Linked DNA regions of Saccharomyces cerevisiae S288C. Changing the gene in region 4 together with the main gene of any one other region gives a genetic interaction. Each region holds a gene or a part of one and is shown on either strand. Other genes may lie near its edges. The genes, in order: APT2, CST6, MRS3 and YPL039W.

Region 1 (5,120 bases), on a different chromosome or scaffold from region 4:
CAAACAAGAAGAATGATCGCGATAGTCCTTCATCAACATTTGTTGATTGGAATGGCCCGTGTCTACGGTTACAATATCCATTATTTGACATAGAGTACTTAAGATCACATGAAATATATTCTGGAACTCCTATACAATCCATTAGTTTAAGAACAAATTCTCCACAGCCAACGAGCTTGACATCAGATAACGACACTTCCTCAGTAACGACAGCAAAGTTGCAGAGTATTTTATTTTCAAATTATATGGAAGAGTACAAAGTCGACTTCAAAAGGTCAACAGCCATTTATAATCCAATGAGTGAAATTGGTAAATTAATTGAATACAGCTGCCTGGTCTTTTTACCTTCACCTTATGCTGAACAATTGAAGGAAACTATACTACCGGACCTAAATGCATCATTTGATAACTCTGACACGAAAGGTTTCGTGAATGCTATAAATTTATACAACAAAATGATTCGTGAAATTCCTAGGCAAAGAATAATTGACCATTTAGAAACAATTGATAAAATTCCTCGTTCATTCATTCATGACTTCTTGCATATCGTCTATACCAGGAGTATCCATCCGCAGGCGAATAAATTGAAACATTACAAAGCATTCAGCAATTATGTTTATGGAGAACTTTTGCCCAATTTCCTATCTGATGTATATCAACAATGCCAGTTGAAGAAGGGTGACACTTTCATGGATCTCGGTTCGGGAGTAGGTAATTGCGTAGTACAAGCTGCGTTGGAATGTGGATGTGCATTAAGCTTCGGATGTGAAATCATGGATGATGCTAGCGATTTAACTATACTGCAGTACGAGGAACTAAAGAAGAGGTGTAAGTTATATGGGATGCGTTTGAACAACGTGGAGTTTTCATTGAAGAAAAGCTTTGTGGACAATAACAGGGTCGCTGAACTAATTCCTCAGTGCGATGTTATCCTCGTAAATAATTTTTTATTTGATGAAGATTTGAATAAAAAAGTCGAAAAGATACTACAAACGGCAAAAGTTGGATGTAAGATCATAAGTTTGAAAAGTTTAAGAAGCCTCACTTATCAGATCAACTTCTACAATGTTGAGAACATCTTCAATAGATTAAAGGTGCAAAGGTATGATCTTAAGGAGGATAGTGTTTCATGGACGCATAGTGGCGGAGAGTATTATATATCAACAGTGATGGAGGATGTGGACGAAAGTTTATTCAGCCCTGCTGCAAGAGGTAGGAGGAACAGAGGTACGCCGGTGAAGTATACCAGATGAGGCACTTTGAACGGCTTTTAACGATGAGTATGAATAACTAAGTAGAAATAACATGTACACAAGTGTAACTTATAAAAATCAAAAAATAAAAAAATAGAAAGGGAGAGAATAAGAGTAGGTAATAATATGAATTAAAAGAAGGATAAGGCGCCGTGGACCAGGTACCTAAAAAGTAAAGTACCAGTTTATATTAACAAAAGAAGTTCAAGCTAAAAAGTAGCAATATGCGAAGGAAAGGAAAATAATTGAAGGAGGAGGCAGAGAACAAATTTAAATCAGGAGTGCAATATGGAAAAAATAGGAGCAGATAATTTCTCCTCACCATGTAGACTATCTAACACTAGCACAAAGTCATATTCCAGAATATGAGCACCCACTTGTCTGATAAGGTCGCCCGCAGCATATGCCGTTCCACCGGTGGCGAGAACATCATCCACGACAACCACGTTGGAATCAAAGGGAATGGCTTCAACCTGCATTTCAAAAATTTCTTCATGGTCTAATTTTGTGAATGTTATAGAAGCACACTCACCCGGCAATTTTCCAACTCTCCTTATTGGAACAAATCCAACTCCCAATGCCAGTGCTAGGGATGGCCCAAATAGAAGGCCTCTAGCTTCTATACCTGCAATAAAGTCGATCTTTTCTTTGCCGAACTTTTCTTCTAAATGCGTCTTGAACGTGTGTACCAACTTTTGGAATAGCGTGGGGTTGCCAATAATAGGTAAAAAATCCTCAAATTGCTCACCCTCTATGGGAAAGTCAGTGAACTGCCTAAATGCAGTTTTTATTTCCTTTGCGTAAGATTCAGAAATAGACATAATGAGAGGCGGACAGGCAATGAACAGGCATATACACACGCACTCTCTTTTTTTAAGGAGCGAAAATTATCTGAACGATTGGTATGAACGGGTGCAAAATTTACTTTAACACCCAAAAAGTATATGCGTATATATATATATTTATCCTTGTTATTTTTGTAAATTGAGCTATGCAACATAAGATTCCTGCGATGTAAGAACTACTTGCTAATCAAGAGAACTTCAACAATTTTCCATCGCAGAGACGAAAAAACTGGAAAAAAATAAAAAGAAAAAATTGAAAAAGAATCGCGACTTCCGATTACATAACCTTATACGGAGTATGATACCATTCTTGACATCATCAACACACCATCGCAGACCCACGTGGCCGCTTCGTGTGCCTTGAAAATACAGCCTTAAACGCAATCTCATTCGCGTTCTGTGGAAATTGTCTCGGACTACACGCTGGGCGTGCATCACCAGTGAAAATGCCGTACCGCCCCGCTTCCGGTTTTGTTTTTATAAATCCGACTGGAGAAATAGACTTCTGGGTTTACACCCCGGAATAATACTAAAACCAAAACTGGTAAATAGGGCTACAGATGAGCAGGAAAACGTTGCCGGAAAAAGTTTATTTATCCGAGAGAATAATTGATGAAGAAGTAGCGGTATGCACAGTAGCGGCGGAAGTATTAGCAATTTTTACTCTGGTGTGCACAAGAGTGTTCATCATTTTTTTCACGGCTAGGATATGCCATGGAATATGGCCATCTTCGCCATCAGAGAGACCGTACCACACGTTTAGAGCAGCCAGGTTGCGAAACTCTTCTAAGATGGTTTCCAGCAATTGTGTACTATCAGAATGTGGACAGTTTAAAAGGTTGACTGCGAATTTGTCCCAAACCGTATCACCGTCGCATTTTTTGAATTTGATCAAAGCACCACTCCTAATAGCACAGCGATGCTGTGAGTGTGCCAGTGGGAACGGGTGCTGAAATACTATTCCATGGATGTCCTGGTCTATATCCCTTATTTCATAGTCGTATAATCTGGTCATATCCATGCGTCCTCCAAACCTAGTGTCTTTGTAGATCGGCTTGAAACTAGGGTACAATTTGTCCTCATCTATGAAGGAGATTTTAGAGTTGTCATCCACACACACCACAGCAAGATGTATATTCCTACCAGAAAGTCTCCTCCAATTCATCAATTCATCATCCGGCAGTATGCCATTCAATCTAGTTAAAATTAGACATATTTTTCCGAATTTTTTAGACGCTAAATTTAGGGCGATATTCCATATTTGATTACATGCGTCGTCAAATTTTCCTCTGGAATTCCCGACGTACCACGTTTTCGTCATGCTGCCTTGTCCATAGCTATCTGAAAGAGCTGCAAAAACCCACTCTTTATCTACACTACGCGAGTATGCCAGGTGGATGTACGAGTCATAATATATTATAGAAGATGATCCTGTACTGTTATTCTGCTGCTGCTGTTGCTGTTGCTGTTGCTGTTGCATTTGCTGTTGCTGCATGGTTCTGAAATTCACTTTCTCCGGCAGCGTATGCGCAATGTGGGTGAACTTTACAGATTTTGGCGGCAGCATGTTATATATAGAAATTGCTACGTTGACGTACTGATCCACTGTCACCAGTACGTTTCTAATGAAATCCATAGGAATAACTTTCAAATATAGTTCAATGTTAGGCATCTTGGCACAAACTTCGTTCTTGATCACCTGAAAAATATTCGCCTTGTCTACTAATTCAGTCAGAGTTGCATTATCCAAGGGTAAAATTATTAATATTGGTGGCACGTTTTTGATGGAGTTCTTATTATTAGAACAGTATGAAACAATCTGCGCAGCTAACAACAGTAACTTGTTTTTATCAAATGCCTTCAAGTACATCAGTCCGGGCGGGTCTTCATTAGTTAGTTTAAGCAACTCACAAAACCCTAACTCTTGATTAATATATGTTTGAGATAGAGTTGGCGCAAATGACAGACAATCTTCTTTGAAAGATGAACTTAATAATAAGGATTTGAAGTTTTTTATTCCATTTGGAGGGCGAAAATTGAGGAACTTAATAAATGGCTGAGAGTCGTGTTTGACTTTGATTAGTTCGTGATGTTTCTTTACAAAAACGTACGGCTGCTTCATGTTATAGAATTTGGAGATCGTATCATTGCCATTTAATCTATCGAAAGTGGAAAATAACTGTAACATTGTGGTTGTTATTAAACCTTCTTGGCAATCTTTAACTCCCCTATAGGCGATCTTTGGAATACCGAGGTTTCCTAAGATATTATAATCAGTGACGACTTGTTCTGCAATTAAATCTAAGATGTCTTGTTCTTTTTCTGAAATTGTAACAACGGGAGTAGGCGTGATGAAAATGTCCGGTATAGATGCTAGCGGCATGTGTCTCAATAGAAACGGTAGACTACTTGATGATTCAAAAGATAAATTGGGGTCCGCCGGTGTGAATTCGGGGATACCACTCTTGTCTTTTGGTAGGTTAGAAATTTCAGAATTTACCATATTCGGCGTAAATTCGGACGGATTACTGGTAACATTATTATCTTCCAAGGTCATCTTTATATTGGATTCTATGGGTTGAATAGATGAATCAACGGTCTTCAGTGGTGACTCGGTCTGTGGTATATCATTTTGAGGAATTTTCCAAATAGAGTTGAAGCCTTCCTTATTGCTAGTGATATTAGCATCGTTTACTGAATTGAAATTTTCTTGCTTTATAATAGAGTCTTGTAGACTTGGGATCGAAGAGTAATTTATGTATTGAGGCTCATGAATATTAGTATTAGTACTGATGTTATCAGAAGGTTTCATGTCGTCGCGTACGTTCAATGACTTTAGATCCTCATCGCTGCTACCGTTCTCTTCTTCATCCTCTTCCTCTTCAGAGCTAGAAAGATCCGCCATAGAAATATCAAAGTTTAATGCTTCCTCCTTTTGCAACGGACTGAAGGAAAATTTCCCTCCAGATTTGTATTTGTTATCAACATTGTTTTCTATTATGGGGTTAAAATTCAGTGGAGC
Region 2 (4,979 bases), on a different chromosome or scaffold from region 4:
AATCAAGGTATCTTTCACAAGTTTTTCACTCAGCGAAAATTGCGAGACCGCTCGTGGAAGGTGACGATAATACGATACTTACAACTTTAATATTATAAATATAAGCATGTGGTGGAACAATATAGTCAGGCAAACTGCTAAAAGTCCCCACTTATAAACAGTGTGTAAAAAGTACGTTTGTTTTTGCTCCTTATCCTTTATTTGGCGTTTTGACAGTGAAGACAATGCCGCTACCGATGCGTTGGTTATATTAATTCCTCGATTAATTATACCATATTTTTGAATGTCCAGTGCAAATGAAGAATTTGTATTCGTAACTTCGTATGTCGGTAGGAAATACTGACCCAGGAACTCATTAATTGAATCGCTGCCTAACAGAGGCTCAACCTGCAGGTCTATCCCCTGCCAATTTTGAGAACTCTCATTAAGATATTTTTCAAACTGAGTGTTTGTGTCGTTAACCCAAAGATTTAGGATGTCCGTTGATTGCACTTTCAAATTGGGGTCAGTTTGAAGGCTTAAATTTGCTGTAATGAACTTTTCATTCACTTCCATTTGGAAATTTTCACACAATAATGATACGCTGTCATTAATGAAACCCTCTATCGTAGTTGTTATATTTCCATCTGTCCAAACTTCCCTTTTGTATAGCGAAGGTCCCGCTCTTTTGTGGAATGTAGGCAAACTGGGTACTTCAAAGTTTGTTAATCGCGTCACTATCTGCCAATGAATTAATAACATCAAAAAACCAAACAGCCACAGGTGAGCCCCATTTGAGATTATCCACCAGTTACAGTAAAATAGTTTTGATTTTTTGACTTTTTTGTCATCGATTTTTTCTGGTTCTCTTTTAAATATTTTTTGATTGATAAGCTTTGTTAATTGGTAGGGAATTGGATAAAGTGTACTGAGATTCAGAGTAGTAATTAAGCTTTTCAAAACTTTGTTGTATTTAGTAAAATTGGTTTGTCCTGTCAGGCCATTAATTTGGGACATAACCAGGTTTACTTGCTGATTTTCCAGCTGAAACAGAATTCTTTCGATTGCCATGAGCAAAATCACAAATGCAAAGTACATGACTGTGAAAATTATTGTCATTCTCTTACATTTACGGAAAACGTGATTTTTTACTGCACTTAGTACACTGTTTTCCTCGCTATTTGTTTTCAGAGACCGTTTAATTATTGAAGTAGACGATGTAACCTCGGTACTCCCCCCAGATAAAATGGAAATTTCATTCTGTAAGTTTGCAGTAAAGTTCCTTTTCAACTGAAGCCAGTCAGTGGAATTTCGTAGAAAATTCAAACTTAAGGTACTAGAGGTATCTAATTGAGTAGAAAAGTCAGTGATAGTGCCATTGAAGTTCTGCAATGATTTCAATTTCCTTGAGTAGTTCCCAAAAATACTGTCAAACATGGAGTAATTTAACAGTAGGTTTGATGCCATTTGTGAAATGGAATCCTTATCAATGGTCATTGCGTCTTCTGATATTTCATTCCATGTGTCATTTATCAGCTGTGATTTAGTGAGTAGTTCGTTAAAAATTGTATTGTTTACCTCAAGAACTTCCTTAATCAATTCAGTTTCCAAACTTATTTGGTCGTTGATAAGTTTTTGTTTATTATCCAGTATGTCGTCTGTGTATGACTTGAATTTTTCTTGCATATCCGTACCTACCGTAGATTCAATACTCCGTAGTTTGCTTTCGAAATACTGATCAATTGTATTATCAATGAATGTTTTATTTAAAGAGTAACTGTTGGCAGAATATATGGCATGCTGTGTTGTGACTGCTGTCATTGTGGCCGTTGTTGTGGCCGTTGTTGTGGCTGTCGCTGTAGCAGTTGAAATAGATGCAAAGGTTGAGACGGTATCATTTCGTTTGACCTGTGCGTGAGACATTTTTGCCATTGTAATGTCAATGACTGAAAAGGAACCCCAAATAGTTAAAATAACAGAAGTAAAGAATATCAGTAATAGAGGATGGAAAATACAACTAAAAAACCTCTGTGGAAGTGATAAAGGTTTAATTATGTGTACATTGTTCATCTTTGCCGTACTCTTAGTTTTATCGAAAAGTGGTGTAGATTTTCAGCTACTTAAGCCATGTTAGTGTTCTAGTTTTTTGCTTTACATGTTATATAAAGGGCCAAGATAGCATATGTAAATGTTTTATTACTGGGCTGAAACATTTTTAAAACATTTTTCAATAATGTGCTGTTATAACCGTACAAGGACGGTTATAATTCTGAATTAAAATGCTGCACCGAATGAAAATACCAATGTTCTTCCAAACCTATTGGCGAAAATTAAGATAAGCTGTCGCCTCTATAATCAAGAATAATCTCAACTATTATAAATATTATTCCCAGAAGTTGAAATTGTGACACATTTGAGTAATATCACCTTACACGGAACATAGTTGCCCCCTTCTCCGAAATTGCTGACAATGATAATCGGGGATTCAATGACAATGACAATGAAGGCAAAAGATTTTCATATTGTACTCTTGTTTTTTGAGTTATCACTTTCAAGTACCTTCTTGTTAACAGAAATAGAACCGCTATAGAGGTTATCGTGTATACGTATCTGTTGGTGTTTCTAAATCAAAAACTCGCTTTTAAAGCAGTCTTTCAATTGGAAGATTCAAAAGGATCTAAAAAGATCTAAAGTAGTAAAGAAAAAAGTATAAGCCCACACCTTTTTGGTAGGATAATGTTTACTGGTCAGGAGTATCATTCCGTAGACTCTAATTCCAACAAGCAAAAAGACAACAATAAACGTGGTATTGATGACACATCAAAGATCTTGAATAATAAGATACCGCACTCTGTTAGTGATACTTCTGCCGCCGCCACCACCACTTCTACTATGAACAATTCTGCTTTAAGTAGATCCTTAGATCCTACTGACATAAACTATAGCACAAATATGGCTGGTGTGGTTGACCAAATACATGATTATACTACTTCCAATAGAAATTCTTTAACCCCACAATATTCTATTGCAGCTGGAAACGTCAATTCGCATGATCGGGTTGTTAAACCCAGCGCCAATTCAAACTATCAGCAGGCTGCATACCTTCGACAACAGCAACAGCAGGATCAGCGACAACAGTCACCCTCTATGAAAACTGAAGAGGAATCCCAACTCTACGGTGATATTCTGATGAATTCTGGTGTCGTACAGGATATGCATCAGAATCTGGCCACTCATACAAATCTGAGCCAACTGTCGTCTACCCGTAAGTCCGCTCCGAATGATTCTACTACAGCCCCGACTAATGCGTCCAACATCGCCAATACGGCTTCTGTGAACAAGCAGATGTATTTCATGAACATGAATATGAATAACAACCCACATGCCTTGAACGATCCATCCATCCTGGAAACATTGTCGCCATTTTTTCAACCTTTTGGTGTTGATGTAGCACATTTACCTATGACGAATCCACCAATTTTCCAAAGTTCTTTGCCTGGATGCGATGAGCCAATTAGAAGAAGAAGAATATCAATCTCTAACGGTCAAATAAGCCAGCTAGGCGAAGATATTGAAACTTTGGAAAACCTGCACAACACACAGCCGCCCCCGATGCCCAATTTTCACAATTATAATGGTCTGAGCCAAACTAGGAATGTATCAAACAAGCCGGTCTTCAACCAAGCAGTGCCGGTTAGTAGTATTCCACAATACAATGCAAAAAAAGTTATTAATCCCACGAAGGACTCCGCATTGGGTGATCAGAGCGTTATTTACTCGAAAAGTCAGCAGCGAAATTTTGTAAACGCGCCATCAAAGAATACTCCAGCGGAGAGTATAAGTGATTTGGAAGGCATGACGACGTTTGCGCCAACTACTGGAGGTGAAAATAGGGGCAAATCTGCACTTAGGGAATCTCACTCTAATCCTAGCTTCACTCCAAAATCTCAAGGATCTCATTTAAATTTAGCGGCGAACACACAGGGAAATCCAATCCCTGGTACTACGGCATGGAAGAGAGCAAGATTGTTAGAAAGAAATCGAATTGCAGCTTCGAAATGTAGACAAAGGAAAAAGGTTGCGCAGCTGCAGCTCCAAAAGGAATTTAACGAAATTAAAGACGAGAATAGAATTTTACTGAAAAAGTTAAATTACTATGAAAAACTAATCTCTAAATTCAAGAAATTCTCCAAAATTCATTTACGTGAACATGAAAAACTAAATAAAGACTCAGATAATAATGTTAATGGCACTAATAGTAGCAACAAAAATGAAAGCATGACTGTGGATTCATTAAAGATCATTGAAGAACTTTTAATGATCGATTCAGACGTTACAGAAGTGGATAAAGATACTGGTAAGATCATAGCCATCAAGCACGAGCCATACTCTCAACGTTTCGGAAGCGATACTGACGATGACGATATAGATCTCAAGCCCGTAGAAGGTGGTAAGGATCCAGACAACCAATCATTACCCAATTCTGAAAAGATAAAATAACAAAGTTTTGGTGAGCACAACGGTGTTTCATTCAAGAATGATAAGGACAACTATATATGTAATATACGTGTATAAATACTCGAGCTGCATCCTTTCTTTTCTGCCGTTATTATTTCGTTTAGTTACTACATTTATGGTATAAATTACCTTTAAGACATTATTATTTTGCATGTATGAAATTTGCTCGTGTCAACCCCTTAGTCCTCCTTGCCTCTGTTGTATGGAGGAAGCCCTTTAAACCTGTATTTAGTTTTTTAAATCTATTAGAATTAAGTACAATTGTACAGATGGTAAAAAAAAGTAATCGTTATATCGTTTGTCAGTGATTTTTTTTTTTTTATTTCATTCATTATTTATTTCTTATTTTTCAATTTGTTCCCTTATTGGGGCAAACCACGGGTGTCCCATCGCTTCCTTAGCAGTTAATCTTTCTTGATGATCATATCTCAAAAGATTGTCAATAAGGTCAATAATTTCATCGTTGCCGCTTAAATGTTTAT
Region 3 (5,130 bases), on a different chromosome or scaffold from region 4:
TACAGCAAATTGTAACTGATGTGCTTCTTCGGTGGTCTCATCCTTGATTGTCAGTATTTTTACTCCTTTGAAGTAAAAGTCGATTGTACAGGTACCAGGCTGTGAAACGAGTAGGTAGTCAACATCACTTGCCTTGTATGTCCCGACCTTTGAACCGTACATGGCAGTGATGGGTTGTAAAATGCTAAAATCCTCTTTTCTTGCTACAGTTAGAATATCCCATGGAACTATATAGATTGCACCAACTGTGTCTTCAAGTGGTGCACTTACAGCGAGATAATCCTTGTTGTCTTCTCGAAATTTTCCCATAGTCAGGCTTGTGCCAAAATCGGAAAATGATTTCATGGGAGATACGACAATGTGGCTATTTCCCTTACGTGCTTTTAATGAAGAGACCAAAGGTCGTGCATTTATCCGTTTTTGTGATACTGGCGGTAAATTAGCACATAATCTCAGTTCTTCTGCTTGAGCTTCATTAGTATTCTCGTCATGAAACAAAGTCTCGAAGAAAGGCACGCATCTTTGGAGCATTGCAACCAAATTGGACTGCCCTCCTAGCCAATGATTCAGTATTAGATCATTAGCCCTGGGGGATGTTGAGTAAATATTAGTTAACAATTGGTTTCTTTGAGAGCGGAATAGGTACCCTTCACTAATAGCCGCTGCCATTCCTCTTTTAACGCAAAATTCCAGTTCTGCGTAGGACAACTTTTCCTTTGAAAGTCCAGCGTTCCTTATAATTTCCATTAAATCCTCTTCTCTGGGCAATTTCCAATCAGAGCGAGTTAAAAAATCCCAATTTTCGTTATTATTACTGTCACGGATTACATTATTTAAGGTGAGGAATTCACCCATAACGTCTAAAAACGTATGAGCAGTTTCAATATCTCCATCAAATTCTGTTTCGCTGAGAACTCGGAGTAGTCCGTGCATTCTATAATCGGTAACTAACGAATGCCAGGAAACATCAACTATCTGATGAGTGAATACCCCTATTAAAAATGACTTTAGTGCGAGTGAGCCGTGAGTTCCCCGAAGTCGATCGTTCTGACCATACTTTTGCTGCCAATAAGATACTGCAATCATTAAGAAATTGGGCCAATGAGTGAATTCTGCAAAATCAGACCAATCCTTATTTGAAGGTGCACATGAGTACAAAGCATCCGGAAAGAAAGAACCAGCTTTCAACCAAGGATAATAGTTTTCCTTTAAACTTAAGGGAGCACCTCTTGTTAAATAAAATAGATGGGTAGTAACTCCAGCAGCTTGCAATTTTGTTACAATAGAAGTAGTTAAGCAAATAATAGAGACAAGTAACCAAGAACTAATTATACTCATCTTTATTTAATTCCCTCTGAATACATGTTTCTAACTAACTAACCAAGGAGGGCGCTTGAATGAATCTTTTTTTTTTTTAGAAATAGATTTACCACTCTTAGAGTTTCCGCTATAAATAATGGCAGCTTGCCTGCGTCCGAAATACCCTTTGGGTATACTAAACATAGATATATAAAGTAATGAAGAAAAAATGAAAACTTTTCGTTGAGGGAAAGAGCTCAAGCTTTGGGATTATCAAATTAAATTTGTATATATAAATGTACATAAAGTCACAACAGGAAAATGATAATATACACATAATCTTCTGAGATGCAAAATGAATGGAAAATAATATGACATGTAAGAACCAACTAATACGTCATTAGGAAATGTTTTGCACATTCATAAGCTGTCCATGATATAGCAGTAGCCGGCATGTTTGCCACTATCCTTGGTTTCCAACCTCTCCAAAACCCTTTCCAGCCATAAACTTGATATATGGCACTGGCTGCTTTACTAAAAGTATCCGCCTTTCTCATAATTTCCAACGAAACTGTTTGACTGCCCCTTATCTGCAGTACTGTCTTTATGCAGTCTAAAGGTGTTGTGATCGCCGCACATGTCGATCCGCTGATACTGCCACACAGACAATGTATGAGGGGGTTGTACTCATTTGATGGGTTTAAAAATTTTGTGGATGATTCATATATGACGAAATTAAATGCTGCAAATGGGATGTTCATTACTAGGGTGGTTGGGTAAGAATAATAAAATGCTGCCAAACCTTCAGATTGGTAAATCTGCTTTGTGGTTTGCCATACTGATGCCGAGGTATTGAGTTGGATTCTCTGTTTTATTGTGTCGAATGGGTTCATTAATGCGTCAGATGCCGTGGTGGCACAGGCACCACTGATAGCTGTCTTAAAAGGATGGTGCGTTTGCGTATCACTCGAATCGATAAGATTTTTTTTGCAGAACTCATACGTACCAAAATACACTGCATGCGCAGGTCCCGCACCTAGTATGACAGACTGAACACCCTTCCATAGGGCTAGAGTTCCTTCGGAAGTAGAGATGTGAGATATTTGCGAAAGCATATTCTTGGCAGACAGCGATTTCGCGTTGGCTGATTGTATTCGCGTCTTAAGGGCATCTATCGGGAACATCACTGAATGTTCCATTATACCAGCAAATGCACCCGCTATAAGTTGATGGTACAATGGCGCGTGGGTGGGGAGCGCCTCATAATCGGGTAGATCCATAGGTATTGCTGGAATTGGCCTTGTTGAATTATTACTCGACGAGTTTTCTACCATAATATCTTCTTTTTTTATAACATAAATATATTTACAGCAAACCTTAAGAGGTGTTAACGAATATGGGAATCGTGATTAATTAAGTGAAGTTACGATCCCAAGATAAAATAAGGAAGTTGTTGAAAGAGGAAAGAATCGATGAAGAAATGAACGACAAAATTACTTTTGTCAATTGTAGGGTACGAAACACCAAGAAATGCAATAAGTGCTATGTAAAGGTGATCCAGTCTTGGTTAGCACACACGCCCAGTTTCTCGAGAGACATAATGACAGTAAACGGTGAGTATAAAAAAAAAGCAAAAAAAAAAGAAAAAAGGAGCAATCGTTCGTTACAAACGATCTAGACTTGATGAAAAAAAACCCTAAAATGTCTCAGACCTAAAACAAAACCCTAAGAAGCACGTGATACAAACCTGTCACGTGCAACATTATGGGGTATGGGTGTGTCACACATTTGAAAAAAAGTGGGCGGAACGTGTGTGGGGGGGTGTCATGCCATTTCCACATTTGGTTGCTCTGGAGATAAGATCCACGAATGAAGGTGAGGGGCATGACTTCAGGGATCAATTTCCCGCCCGCAAGTTAGTTTTTCCGGTGGGAGCCGAGCATCAAGCATGACCACTTCCTGGTGCAGAGAGAAAGTTTCACACATATAAAAGAATAAACCGAAAGTAATGTAGGGAGATGTTTAATGTGATTTTTCACCTTTGTTTTAATGATTACGCACAAGTTTAAATATTACATTCATAAGACAGTAAATAAACGTATTAAATGATCGCCCAAAGTACCAGATTAGCCGCCGCCGTCTCTTCTTCAGCCGCCTCCGCGGGTGTCTCAAGGATAGCCGCTAGCGCCATGGCCAGCACTATTTTCAAGAGATCTCCGGGCAACTCGTTCAACTCTTTTAAGGAATATAGAGAAAATGCCAAGACATATGGTCCCTTGAGTGCCTCACTAGCTACCAGAAGACACTTGGCTCACGCGCCAAAGTTGTAGGCGTATCTTAATTATGCTCTTTTCTTTCCTGGTTTATTAATGATGATGACTTTAACCTATTCTTCTTTTGGGGTCCTGGTACGGTGCCTCAAATTTTTATACAACATGACTTTTTCAGTTACATATTTTTTTATAAGTACTTAATTTAGAAACGGATACATTTACACTACATTTTGTCTATTTTTTTTTTTTTGTTCCTTTTGTTTTATGCTATATTTAAGAGGGAAAATAGGACGGGGCTGCACATTACAACGGTGAATGGAACGCCAGCATAGATAATAAATCTACCTAGAATGTCAATCTTGGGCTCTCCAATATATAATGGACATTCGTACTTGCTTGCACCTTCTTTGTGCGTGGCCTCCAGTCTTTTTCTTGCCGCAACGTTTCTGTCATCCTTCAGATGGAAAACTTTGATCAATAACGTGTAGATCATCGGTTTGCTGATCACGTACTTCCAGATAACAACGCACGGTAGGCCCACCAGCAGCCTGGCTAAGGTTAACCGCCAGCCACAGTTAGGTTCCAAATTGTACACCAGGGTGACTCCAAACACTTTGCCCAACCAATCACAGCATTCAATACCTGACACAACGCCCATGAACGCAACACTATCTTGGAAGCAAGGACATTCGTCTACGGGCTTAACATGTTTAAACAAAAGAAGAAGACCCCATCCCACACTAAACAAAGGAAACCACCAATGCTCCTCAATGCGTAAACCCGGAAACCTGTACTTGAAATACATCCTAACAATGAAACACACTATTCCAATGAGCCCACCGCTTACTAAATCTAATATGCCATGCATCCCACAGTATATTCTACCGAAAACCAAAGTCATATAATAAAATAAAACCACACATGACAACAATAGTTGGACCATGACAGAAGATTCTTGCATCCTCCAGATGTTGTAGAGAAACAAGAGACTCACTCCTGTTGCATTTGCTGTATGGGAGCTTGGAGCACCATATTCCTTCGTTGTATATTCACTTAACGTAATTCGATGTAATGGAGGTGCTCTAGGCCTGGGCAAGCACCAGTAATCTTTAAAAAAACCACTCAAGTAGATAGAATATCCCAAGATATAAACCATATCTTTTGTTGTTTCAAAATATCCAAACCACACGGGCATAGGTAAACACAGAACATAGAAGGTATGCGATCCCATTAAGGAAGTATAAGTAAAGTAGAGATCATTAAACGCAGAACGGTACTTCTTTTGCCAGCGGCTTAATGTGAATGATTGATTGTTGGTAAACACTAACAGCTTCTCTCTAATATTAAACCGAAATTTGGACATTCGAGTTCGAAAATGATCTGAGGGATGATTACCGGGATCCAGCAAGTAATTAGGCTCTTGAAAGTCATTGGGGTTAGAGAGAGTCCTGGCTCTTTTCCTAATGTTCGAGGTATTCAGTCCATCTACCATTTTTTATCTATACAAATGGCTTGTGTCCGCTGGTCTGGTAGGTTTGAAGAATTTCCTCTACGTGAT
Region 4 (5,434 bases):
GCCATCCAAGCCTTGTCTCAATTGGCTGCCCAAATGGAAAAGCACGAAGCCAAGGCTCCAGCTGATGCTGAAAAGAAGGATGAAGCTATTCCAGAGTTAGTTGAAGGTCAAACTTTTGATGCTGACGTCGAATAAATAACTTAATCTTTAATTTTAACGTTAAATAAAAAAACACATATTTTGTTCCATTTTTTTTCATTTTTTTTAGCATATCTAAAGCATATAATACAAACACTGTTTTCTGCAAAAAAAAAAAAATAAAAAATAAAATATAAAAAAACAATATACCACACTATGCTGCACACGTGAAATGATGAACTTGTACGTCACCACTTTGTGCGCAAAAAATTGGCAAAAGTAGAGAACATGTCACTAACTGTATCGGAATATTACAACGTTTTTTTATTCTACTTATCTCAATGGCTAAAGTATATATCTATCTATATATGTATGTGTAGGTGTGCTGATGGAGACAAATACGTTTTCCTCTAGCCTTACAACAGGCCGGTACCATTCTTTATCGCATCCTTGATGAGCTCATCTACATCAACGTCTGAACCTTCACTTAGTTTCTTTCTGTTTCTTTGACAGGTCAGTGTGTTAGAATGTCTTTTTAGAGCATCCTTCCTGGCAAACCCTTTGCCACAGTTTGAGCAAATATGCGGCAGCACGAGTGAGTGTACCTTTTCATGTCTTCTCAGATCAGAACTTCTGCTGAATTTCAACTGACATTTCGCACAGCTGTAGAGCTGTGCGCCTTCCTTGCTATGGTTGTTACCTCCTGTTCTTTTTGTTTGTGTTTCTGGAATCCTTATAAGACCTCTAGCCATATTTTCCGGCTCCCCAGCCTTTAAAACATTTTCTGGTGCTGGTATAACTGCGCTCAATGGGCTGGATTGTCGAATTCTGTGGAGTAGCTCTCGTATTATGGGGTCCGTATGAGTGGGACTTGATGAGATTACCGCTATAGCTTCTGCCGCTTGTTTGAGAAATATTTCATCTACATTCATGTCTTGCGCCAGTTTCATATGCACATATAGACTATCGACTGTGTATATTGAGCCCAACTTGTTAATGATCAAATCTCTTTACGTACTGAGGAACGGCTTTTTCTTTTTCTTACCCATGTTATATTTTGCATTAGAACAAAAAAAAAATTGATGGGCTAGCAAAATTTTTAGACTAAAATTTAGAGGCAAGATATGGTTCTGTAAGACTCGAAAAAATTCTCATAATATATACTTGCTTGTGTGAAAGTGTTCTTTTGTTTTGTTTTTTTTTCTTGTGTATAATTATACATGTTTTTTTTGCCTTTTGTACTCAAGAAATCATAAATGGAAATAAAAATGACCCTTGAATGATGAACAAAACGACAAACCATACTTTATTAAACTATCCTAAAAGCTTCTTGTACTAACTTTTTACCCATTTTGTTAAACTCCTGTAATTCTGTCACCAAAACATATCCGTTACTTTGACCCGACCATTCACCAGAGTCACTTACTTGGGTGGGTTCGATCCCACACTCAATTAATGATCTAGAATGCAAACCATTTGGTGTGTCTGGGATAAACGTAGTTTGTCGATATGTATCGGCATCAGCCCCCATGCTATGCGTTTCTTCATGTTCCGACCGCCTATCTTGGCCTTCCCCATCGGAATGGCTATGAAGCGAGTATGCCCTTGTATGTACATGTAGATCATCAGCTGACCTATTGGTAGAGAAAAAAGGTGATGCTGATGAATTGGAGTTCATAAAAGAACTTCTGAGGAAGTACGAATGTTGTTCACGTCGAGATAACATTTGCCTGCGTTGTTGTCTACTCCGCCGAATAAGTACAGGCCTCACAATAGAACAACAATTTATCACTTCTTCCAGTGGCAAGCCTGTTATCTGGGAATAGAGATGATAGGTTTCATCCCTCGTGGTAATCCTGTCGCGGTCATCGCCTACAACATTTGGCACACTTAAGATGAAAGCAGCTACAAATAGTTTGTGTAAGCTGAACTTTAAAAACTTCATGTAGTTAGTTTCCTTCGAGCAGCAATCTAGAAACTTGATGACAATGCAACAGACCTTTTTGAACTGTAAATGCGATGATTTGGCTCTGTGTAGGATTATTTCTAAAAATTTGGTTGTTTTCAAATGATTTGTGCCAATAATTGCATTGTCATCATCACTAGGCATGGTAACTAATAGGCTCGCATACCGCTGCATAATCCCCTTAGTCACTTGCGCTATCATGAACTTTTTCAATACCACTTTTTGCTTTTTAAATGACAACTCAGCAGATGCCATGTTATCAGCACCGCTCAAATTATACTCCTCTTTCAGCATCCCCCAGCGTGAATAATTCTACCCCGTATTCTTTAAATATTTAACATAGATGGCGATGATGTGTCGCCCCATATAATGTACTTTAAAAACAATAAAATCCTGTTCTGAAAATGTCGATTCTTTTTCCGCAAGCGAGTTAAGAAACGCAGAAAAACAGCAAATATAAAGGACCAAGGCTAGAAGTTATGGAACACAGTATACTAAGAACGATCTTTAGCTACTTATGAAGCGCTCCAGGCTTGTGCCTCAACATATCTTTAGCATTATTAGCAAGCGATATCTCGCCAAACATGCCTACCAAAAAACATTAAACTTGCCCAAGACCAAATTCCCTAATAGATCAAACTTAGAGATTACATTGAGGGAATTAATACCAAAATCTTCGCAGTTAGTTTACAAGGAGCAGCTACGTGATTTCTTCGAAGAATTTTCAAAGCTTAATACGACTGATGAAAAATTAGAGTTCATTAAAGAAAAGTTGTTCATCTTACATGATGGACCGCCCTATGCCAACGGCGAGCTCCATCTCGGTCATGCTCTAAATAAAATTCTGAAAGATATCATAAACAGATATCAACTTTCACAGGGGAAGTACATTTTTTATAAGCCTGGCTGGGATTGTCATGGACTACCCATCGAGATTAAAGCTTTGAAAGATTTAAGCGCGCAACAGATCGAGTCAATATCGCCTTTAAAAATCAGGTCAATGGCTTTAAAACATGCACAAAAGGCAATCAAGAGGCAAAGGGAAACTTTCCAACATTTTGCCATCTTAACGGACTGGGAAACACCATACCTAACAATGGATAAAGACTATGAAATTAATCAGCTAAATATTTTTAAAGAAATGTACGAAAGAGGACTGATTAAGAGACAGAACAAACCGGTTTACTGGGGTACAGAAACTAGAACAGCGTTAGCAGAGGGCGAATTAGAATATAATGAAAACCATAAATCCATCGCTGCTTATGTTAAATTTCCTCTTGAAAAGAAATCCCAGATGGATCTGTGCAAAAAACTAGGAATAACGAATAACTTGCCTATATACTGTTTGATTTGGACCAGTACTCCATGGACTCTTCTCTCTAATCGAGCAATCTGTTTCAATCAGGATTTTTCCTACTCCCTATTACGCTTAAATAGTGAACTTATCCTTGTAGAGACCGGCTCCATTGATAAATTGGGCCTAACAACTAACTCATTTGAGACTATCAAACAGTTTCAAGGAACTCATCTAAATGGGCTATATTATCAAAACCTCTTAGTAGACGATAAGGTTGGCAGGCCCTTATTACATGGTGCACACGTTACCAGCGGTACAGGGACTGGATTGGTTCATACAGCACCAGGGCATGGACAGGATGACTATCTCATTGGTATTCAAAATGGTCTTGAAATTTATTCTCCCGTGGATCACCAGGGCCGCTACCAATTAAATGAACTTCCTCAGTCCGTCAGATCCATCGTGAGAGATGAAGGAGACTTAACAAAAGGTAGGCAAGTATTGGATGCCGAAACCGCGAAAATCATTCTATGTAAGTTAAGCGACCTTAATTTACTTTACAAATCTCACGAATACACGCATTCTTATCCGTACGACTGGAGATCCAAGAAACCTGTCATAATAAGAGCTACTCCACAGTGGTTTGCAGATTTACACGATGTAAAAAACTTGGCTCTGGAAAGCATCAGCCGCGTCAAGTTTTGTCCTAAAAGAGGCTATTCAAGACTTTCATCCTTTATGAAAAGCAGAAATGAATGGTGCATATCTAGGCAACGCTCATGGGGTATCCCTATATTAAGCTTTTACAAGAAGAGCGAACCGGATTCTGTTTTGATGAATTCAGAAATTTTGGCACATGCCATAGAAAAAATCAAACAAAAAGGAATTAATGCATGGTTTAACGATAAAGATAATGACATGAAAGAATGGTTGCCAGAAAAATATCACGACGTAGCGCATGAATACTGTCGTTCTCAAGATACTATGGATGTGTGGTTTGATAGTGGGTCGTCATGGAGTGTGATCAAAGACTTTTATGAAAAAAGCTTAAAGTTGTCAAAACTCCCATCCCCCCTGTACCAAGTTTGTCTAGAAGGATCTGATCAACATAGAGGATGGTTTCAAAGTTCACTGCTAACAAAAGTAGCATCAAGTAATGTCCCTGTTGCACCATATGAAGAAGTGATTACTCATGGTTTTACCCTAGATGAGAATGGTCTGAAAATGTCAAAATCTGTGGGAAATACAATTTCTCCCGAAGCAATAATTCGAGGCGATGAAAACTTAGGCTTACCAGCTTTGGGTGTTGATGGCTTGAGGTATCTGATAGCACAATCGAATTTCACAACTGATATAGTTGCTGGCCCGACTGTGATGAAACATGTAGGAGAAGCTCTAAAAAAGGTTAGACTAACTTTTCGCTATTTATTGAGTAATTTACAGAAGTCCCAAGATTTCAACCTTTTGCCGATTGAACAATTACGCCGTGTTGATCAATATACCTTGTATAAGATAAACGAACTGCTGGAAACGACGAGAGAACACTACCAAAAGTACAACTTTTCCAAGGTTCTCATTACTCTACAATATCATTTAAATAACGAGCTATCGGCGTTTTATTTTGATATCTCAAAGGATATTTTATATTCCAACCAAATATCGTCATTGGCAAGAAGGCAGGTCCAAACAACGCTTGTCCATATACTAAATGCATATAGGGCAATTCTTGCACCAATATTACCCGTTATGGTCCAAGAAGTATGGAAGTATATACCAGAAGGATGGTTACAAGGACAAGAACATATAGACATTAATCCGATGCGTGGAAAATGGCCGTTTTTGGACTCAAATACGGAAATCGTCACCTCCTTTGAAAACTTTGAACTAAAAATTCTAAAACAGTTCCAGGAGGAATTCAAGAGGTTAAGTCTAGAAGAAGGTGTCACCAAAACAACACATAGTCACGTTACCATTTTCACCAAGCATCACCTCCCATTCAGTTCTGACGAGCTTTGCGACATATTGCAATCATCTGCTGTTGATATATTGCAAATGGACGATAATAATAACAGTCTACCAACTATTGAATTGGG

What was found.
Region 1: mutations in YPL039W (region 4) and APT2 together harm fitness less than expected from each alone (positive genetic interaction), as found in Saccharomyces cerevisiae (one large-scale study listed by BioGRID).
Region 2: mutations in YPL039W (region 4) and CST6 together harm fitness more than expected from each alone (negative genetic interaction), as found in Saccharomyces cerevisiae (one large-scale study listed by BioGRID).
Region 3: mutations in YPL039W (region 4) and MRS3 together harm fitness more than expected from each alone (negative genetic interaction), as found in Saccharomyces cerevisiae (one large-scale study listed by BioGRID).

The regions. Positions count from the first base shown.
Region 1 is NC_001136.10:1,342,989-1,348,108, forward strand, and holds APT2 (adenine phosphoribosyltransferase APT2), read right to left. Parts: upstream 2,075-5,120; coding exon 1,529-2,074; downstream 1-1,528. Other genes in the region: histone methyltransferase DOT1, read left to right, coding at 1-1,253; SSN2 (Ssn2p), read right to left, coding at 2,688-5,120. UniProt on the Saccharomyces cerevisiae protein: Catalyzes a salvage reaction resulting in the formation of AMP, that is energically less costly than de novo synthesis. May lack catalytic activity.
Region 2 is NC_001141.2:282,951-287,929, forward strand, and holds CST6 (Cst6p), read left to right. Parts: upstream 1-2,715; coding exon 2,716-4,479; downstream 4,480-4,979. Other genes in the region: pheromone-regulated protein PRM2, read right to left, coding at 79-2,049; casein kinase 2 catalytic subunit CKA1, read right to left, coding at 4,840-4,979. UniProt on the Saccharomyces cerevisiae protein: Transcriptional activator of promoters containing ATF/CREB sites. Can independently stimulate transcription through ATF/CREB sites. Important for a variety of biological functions including growth on non-optimal carbon sources.
Region 3 is NC_001142.9:158,122-163,251, reverse strand, and holds MRS3 (Fe(2+) transporter), read right to left. Parts: upstream 2,634-5,130; coding exon 1,689-2,633; downstream 1-1,688. Other genes in the region: YJL132W (uncharacterized protein), read right to left, coding at 1-1,338; DPI8 (Dpi8p), read left to right, coding at 3,405-3,629; sphinganine kinase LCB3, read right to left, coding at 3,835-5,064. UniProt on the Saccharomyces cerevisiae protein: MRS3 suppresses a mitochondrial splice defect in the first intron of the COB gene. It may act as a carrier, exerting its suppressor activity via modulation of solute concentrations in the mitochondrion (possibly of cations).
Region 4 is NC_001148.4:476,129-481,562, reverse strand, and holds YPL039W (uncharacterized protein), read right to left. Parts: upstream 2,339-5,434; coding exon 1,388-2,338; downstream 1-1,387. Other genes in the region: EGD1 (Egd1p), read left to right, coding at 1-135; MET31 (Met31p), read right to left, coding at 495-1,028; YPL038W-A (uncharacterized protein), read right to left, coding at 1,190-1,381; isoleucine--tRNA ligase ISM1, read left to right, coding at 2,562-5,434.